2 linked regions of the Macaca mulatta genome follow. The protein of the gene in region 1 interacts with the protein of each later gene in a biochemical or structural test. Links are inferred from orthologs where the notes say so. Each region holds a gene or a part of one and is shown on either strand. Other genes may lie near its edges.

Evidence for each region.
Region 2: the proteins of PDK1 (region 1) and PDHA1 form a complex in vitro, tested with the Homo sapiens proteins (2 studies listed by BioGRID, with this or other methods). The link is inferred for Macaca mulatta from reciprocal best matches to the Homo sapiens genes PDK1 and PDHA1.

What each region holds. Positions count from the first base shown.
Region 1 is NC_133417.1:77,481,674-77,485,173, reverse strand, and holds part of PDK1 (pyruvate dehydrogenase (acetyl-transferring) kinase isozyme 1, mitochondrial), read right to left. Parts: intron 1,574-3,500; coding exon 1,389-1,573; intron 1,102-1,388; coding exon 1,006-1,101; intron 1-1,005. UniProt on the Homo sapiens protein: Kinase that plays a key role in regulation of glucose and fatty acid metabolism and homeostasis via phosphorylation of the pyruvate dehydrogenase subunits PDHA1 and PDHA2.
Region 2 is NC_133426.1:19,087,383-19,090,882, reverse strand, and holds part of PDHA1 (pyruvate dehydrogenase E1 component subunit alpha, somatic form, mitochondrial), read right to left. Parts: intron 2,754-3,500; coding exon 2,627-2,753; intron 965-2,626; coding exon 873-964; intron 1-872. UniProt on the Homo sapiens protein: The pyruvate dehydrogenase complex catalyzes the overall conversion of pyruvate to acetyl-CoA and CO(2), and thereby links the glycolytic pathway to the tricarboxylic cycle.

The sequences.
Region 1 (3,500 bases):
TTGGTTAGGAAATACTCTTATCCACTGTTTGATACCTTTTTAGAGATACCAAAATTTTATATGCATTTAAATGTTTTTAATTCTAGGAATCTTACCCTCTAAAATACTAGCAAAAGTAAGCATGTATTTAAGGATGTTCACAGCAGAACTGCTGGTATTGGTGGTAACAAAAAAATTAAAACAACCTAAATGTACGCCAACAGGAGAATTAATTAATACATACTGATACATTCCATACAGCCATTCAAAATCTTGGGGTATATCCAGATGTACTGAACAGCAAGATGTCTGCAAACTTGTAGAAAAATCACAGAGCACCCCATTTTCTAAAAACAACAATGTAAGGCCAATATCAATTGTGTATGTGTACAAGTGGTATAAATAGAAGAAAGCGTGAAAGGATTCAAACCAACCTGTTACGAATTACTGCTCATAGTGCAAGGAATTAGAAACAGGGGAGCAGGGACTTGAAATCTTTTTTAAGTGAAAGATACCCTCAGCTGGGTTCAGTGGCTCACGCCTGTAATCCCAGCTCTTCAGGAGGCCGAGGCAGGCAGGAGTTCCAGACCAGCCTGGCCAACATGGTAATACCCTATCTGCACTAAAGATACAAAAATTAGCCAGGCGTAGTGTTGAGCATCTGTAACTCCAGCTACTGGGGAGGCTGAGGCAAGACAATCGCTTGAACTCAGGAGGCAGAGGCTACAGTGAGCTGAGATCGCAGCACTGCACTCCAGCCTGGGCAACAGAATGAGACTCTGTCTCAAACAAAACAAAACAAAAAAGATATCCTCTATAGTATCACCAAACTTTGCCTATCTATAATTCTATCAATAAAATAGTCATCCTATAAATAATGCACAAATAATACTATAAGGTTATTTTCAAACCCATGCATTGGTGCCTACCATTTTATCTCATGATACAAATAGTTGTTTAATAGTAAGAAATAACAGTAACTTTGATTTTTGTATCTTTTTTGTAAAGAGAAATGTCAGTATTTACCTTTAATAACTTCAACTACATTGCAGTTTGGATTTATGCTTCCAATGTGTTTTCGATGAGACGGACTTCCTTTGCCTTTTCCCCCAAACAATAAAGCTATCCAAAAAGACAAAACCAACAAAATAAGCTAAACTACCTAATGCTCTTTTCCAAATCTGAATAGTGTTTAAATTGTACCAAACAGTAGAACAAATATTTGCCTTTAGGATAAACACAGTATTTTACATTCAATAAAAATACCTTTCTTGATGGCAGTCTATTTACTTCTCTTAATTAGCCAAAAGGTAAAACTAAATTTTCTACCTAAATGGAAGTTTCCTAAATACATTTAAAATATGCCACCACATCTCATTTAGCTGCTTCTCTTGACTCAGGACACTTACAGTGCTGATTGAGTAACATTCTAATTGAAATGCGACTCATGTAGAATCGATCCAAAAAGTACTGAACATTCTGGCTGGTGACAGGATCCACCCCAAAGCTCTCCTTGTATTCAATCACACCCTGGGCCATTGTGGGAATGACATCATTGTGTCGGTTTCTGATCCGTATCACAGTATCTGTAAAGCTAAACAAACCCATCTGTCAAAACAGCCAAATATTTTGACAAGTAAACTTAATACAAAAATATAAGTTTAACCAACTATGCTAGACAAAAATCCCTAATTTACTAAAAGGAAAATCAGTTCATGTTTTCCTATACTTATTTAAATGTATTTCAAATCATAAAATATACCAAATCTATGGAAGTATAACGACCTCCAAAATAAAACTTTCAAAATGTAATTATTTTCTTGGTTTCCTAAGAGTAAGGCTGTGACAAAACATAATCTTAAAAATGTTAATGGTTTTAACTGCTATCAACTAAGGTTATCTGAGCACTTGCTAAGAGGATGGTATTCCAGAGATATTCTGCATAGAAGAAGACAAAGCACTTGCCTCTAGGGAACACCTGCTCTGCTCTGCAAGGAATCAAGATGAATGAGCCAATAAAGCCTGCCTGTTTTAGAACTATTCCCTAGGGTTCAAAGAGAGAAGGAAACACTTAGGACAGAAAAACGAAAAAAGAATTATCATTTCATTTATTCTATGAGTTTATAAAATGGGAGAGGAAAAGTAAACAATTGTATTAAAAGATAAATCTTCAAATCATCTAGTAGCCTTCCCATTTCTGTCACTTAGAAGACGTTGCATGGTTAAAGAACTAAATAAAAGACAAAAGAGAAAAGAAATCTTTTTTTTCTTTTTTTGAGATGGAGTTTTGCTTTTTCCCCAGGCTAGAGTGTAATCACACAATCTTGGCTCACTGTAACCTCCACCTCCCAAGTTCAAGCGATTCTACTGCCTCAGCCTTCCTCAGTAGCTGGGATTACAGGTATGCACCACCACGCTTGGCTAATTTTGTATTTTCAGTAGAGATGGGGTTCCTCCATGTTGATCAGGCCGGTCTTGAACTCCCGACCTCAGACTATCTGCCCACCTCGGCCTCCCAAAGTGCTGGGATTACCGGCATAAGCCACTGTGCCCGGCCCAAGAAGTCTTAATTATGCAGTAACAAAACCAATTTTCTAACATAACCCATCTGAATTTACACTTCCAAATGAGTGTTTTCCTATTCAAAGTCATCATCTTGAGTACTATTAACTTATTCCAATGATGTTTCCACTGCTTAAAACATTTTTGGAATTCCTAGTTAGTAACAAGCTTCAAAACAAGACTGTTAAACCAAAATACAAACAACAAAACTCTTCGAAAACAACAAACAACTCATCATTCTAGTCATTCCTTTATTTATTTTTCTTTTTTCTTAAAAGAAAACAAAGCTGTATTATTCTGCTTGACTACTTATTTTCCACAGCTCTGAACGACTGTTTTCAGAAGGCTCTATAGCATGTTTACTTCTAAAGTAAGGCTGCTTGGATTCTACCATGTGCTAACTATGTAACCTTAAGCTACATGCCCTCTTTGTGCACAAACAGCATTATTTCAATGAATTGTTTTAAAGATTAAAAAACATCATTCATGTAAAGTCTGCTCAATACCTAAGCAAGGAGTAAACTCTTGCTGAACGTTATTTTCAGATTAAAATCATGTTTAAAAAAATGAAGTGTTACTGTTCCCTTTAAAGACAGTCCAAAAAACATGTGTAACTAACTGAGGACAAGAGATGGTCATTACATTGTCGGTGCCCTTCACTGCAATAAGCAGGTAGCTGCATATGGCAAATACTTTGGTCTACCAATTCCGGTATATGGGTTATTAAACTTGTCATATTACTGACATCTTACAGGCCATAGAGAATAAACTAGAAACCTGCAACCATGTTTTATAGGCCTTCTATGTTTTAAAAAATGTTTTAATTAGCTGCCAATCTTTCAAAAGCAAGAGATTTTACATTACAAACCTAGACTTGTAGCTTTCCTTTAAAATCAGAAAACAATCAGATGATATGAGCAGTATTTTAACATGGCAAAGATCAGCTGGGGCTGAAGGTG
Region 2 (3,500 bases), on another chromosome or scaffold:
ACCCGGGGGTGGAGGTGCGGTGAGCTGAGATCACACCACTGCTCCAGCCTGGGCGGCTTAGCAAGACTCCATTTCAAAAGAAAAAAGGGGGAAAAAAAAAGTAGGTTTTTTAAAAAAACACATAATAGAATCTTAATATATTAGGAAGAGAAACAGTTGGGATATAATTTTGTGCTGTTAATTCTTCATCATCCACTAACTGATGAGAACAAGGACTCCATAATGAAGTTGACAAGATAAGGCAATGTACTGAAATACAAATAGGAAGGGGAAGGTAGGCTCCACTGCTAGAGGCTCTTGCTTACTTATAAAATAGCAGACACCTAAAAGGAAACATTATAAATCACCATCCAAATCTACTCAACTCATCGCTCAAATGGTAGGATATGAAGCACTAGGTCTTTAAAAGCAAACCAAGCCCCCAAAATACAGTCACGCATCGCTTAACAACAGGGATATATTCTCAGAATTGCATCACTAAGCTATTTTGTCGTGTGAACACCATACTGTAATGCACAAACCTAGAAGGTACAGCCTACTGCACACCTAGGCTGTATGGTAGAGCCTACTGCTCCTAGGCTACAACGCTGCACAGCATGTGACTGTACTGAATCCTGTAGGCAAAATATTTGCGTACCTAAACATAGAAAAGGTAATGTGTTGTGCCACTACAACATCACTAGGTGACAGCAATTTTTCAGCTCTATTATAAGTTTATGGGTCCACCATCATATATGCGACATTGACCAAAGTGTCACTGTGCAGCACATGGCTATACTACTTCACGAAAAGTTGTCTGGGGCTGGGAAAGTTTTTGAAGACAAAGGCCAGGGCCAAATCTAAAGCAGCACACAGTCCTCGTCCTTGACTACCTGCGCTCCCACGATGCCATTGCCCCCGTAGAAGTTCTTGGCATACATGTGCATCGATCCTCCTTTCCCTTTAGCACAACCTCCTTTTCGTCCTGGAAATGGCAGAACATACACATGTGCAGCACAAACCAACTCTACAAAGCAAACCAAACCACACCCCAAGTGGCTCAACCATTAGAACGCAGAGGCCAATTCAGTCATCTAAGTACCTGTCTCTCCAGGCAAACACGTTTCTGCTTGTCCTTTTACTAGTTCCATGTGCTTCAACCTTTCCAGCTTTTCCTACTCTCCAGTCACTTAGTTTCCTTCAGATGTTAGCAAAAGTCCAGATGGTACCCTAGACTTTTTTGGTTTTTTGACCAGTTACCAACATCTTAGGACCTCTCCTCTACTAGTACACTAAATATATTCAATCCTTGAACAGGGTTTGAACTGCACGGGTAAACTTATACAGATTTTTTTTTTTCAGCCACACATGGATTGAAAATACAATATTCTCAGGATGCAAACCCGAAGATATGGAAGGCTGACTTCAGGACTTGAGTATTTGAGGATTTTGGTATATTCAAGGGTCCTAGAACCAATCCCCTGGATATATGGAGGGACAACCATAGTTCAAGAGTCCAGGAGGGCCGGGTGCAGTGGCTCACGCCTGTAATCCTAACACTTTGGGAGGTCGAAGTGGGTAGATCACCTGAGGTCAAGAGTTCGAGACCAGCCTGGCCAACATGCTGAAACCTGGTCTCTACTAAAAATACAAAAATTAGCCAGCTGTGGTGGTTTGGCACCTATAATCCTAGCTACTCGGGAGGCTGAGACAGGAGAATTGCTTGAACCTGGGGGATGGAGGTTGCAGTGAGCCAAAATCACACCACTTCACTCCAGCCACTCCAGCCTGGGCAAAAGAACGAAACTCTGTCTTCAAAACAAAAAAAAAAAAAGAAGAAGAAGGGCTGGGCACAGTGGCCCACACCTGTAATCCTAGTATTTTGGGAGGCTGAGGCAGGCCACTGCACTCTAGCCTGGGCAACAAAGCAAGACTGTCTCAAAAACACAAAACAGGCCAGGCGTGGTGGCTCATGCTTGTAATCCCAGCACACTTTGGGAGGCCGAGGCAGATAGATCACCTGAGGTCAGGAGTTGGAGACCAGCCTGGCCAACATGGTGAAACCCCATCTCTACTAAAAATACAAAAATTAGCCGGGTGTGGTGGTGCATGCCTGTAGTCCCAGCTACCTGGGAGGCTAAGGCATGAGAATTGCTTGAACCTGGGAGGTGGCAGTTGCAGTGAGCTGATATCACACCACTGCATTCCAGCCTGGACAACAGAGTGAGACATAGTCTCAAAAAAAACAAAACAAAACAAAACAAAAAACCAAAACAAAAAAATAGTCAAGGGGGACAAAGAAAAGGGGAATATTAAGAAGATTTCTAGAATTTACATCGCATACCAAGCTTCAACCCAACTTACTTTTTTATGACTGCTAGACTTCTGCTGGCATGCTTGAATGATAACCAAACCTATTGTGATTTTATAGCACTAACCTGTTTTAAACTTTTACCTGAGGGGCCAGAGAACTTCACAAATGGTCAGTTAACTCAAGAGCACAACAGAAGTACCAGAGCACCAAAGGAGAGAGGGTTAAAAAAAGAAACTTAAAACTTTAAATATTAACTCATAAAATAGCATCTTAATGAGAGATATTTAAAAACTTAATCCACTCATTTCCCCTTTCTGTAAATCAACAGCAAACCTGTAAGCTCTGCGAGAATTTCTCGGACGGAAAGGCCCCGGGTGAAGGTAAAGCCATGAGCCCGGTAGGCTGTTATGAGATGGTCTGTGGGGTTGATGCCGGCTTCCAGGCCCACACAGCAAGCTTCCTGTTAGAGGAAGGAGAAACTATGAAGCAATACGATACATGTTTCTAAATAAAAACGTTTCCTAGACCGTAGTGAAATATTTGGGCTAGTAGAACCTGTCATTAATAACCAGAGAAAGTAGCTATTTTCCACCAAAATACAGAGCGGACGGCCCAAGCCAGAAGCAATAAACTGGCAACCCACACATGGGCCACTTCCTTCCTTTCTCCTGTATGATGACCTAAAAGCAAATCCTACATCAGATGTCAACATTAAAACACTGGGGAATTTCACATGAAAATCCAGACTTCCGCCTTCTCTTGGAGACATGGAAAACAGGAAGCATTACCCCTGATTTCCACATGGCACCAACTGGCTGGAACCAAGTCATGGCATTCCTCTGGGTAGGGCATGCTGGTCCCAGTTCAGCACGAGTCCCTGTCACCATTCTGTTTTGTATACCTAGCCTTCTTCACTCATTTATTCTACCTGGCTGGCCCTTATAGGTATTTGATTCTATAACCCTTGACATAAGCCCACAAAACAAAAAACAAACTAATCCTTTCTCTCCAAATTATATACAGTACAGGTGATCACAGTGCCAGAAAGTTTTAAAATAGTAAAACTCTGAGAACAGGTACAGAAAACTGGCAATGTTATGTGTGAATGAATTCTTTAGCCTAAGCTTCATAGCAGGTTTTGGCATTCTACTTTTTAATTCTAAAATACTGGCTTCAGCCAGGCACAGTGGCTCACGCCTATAATCCT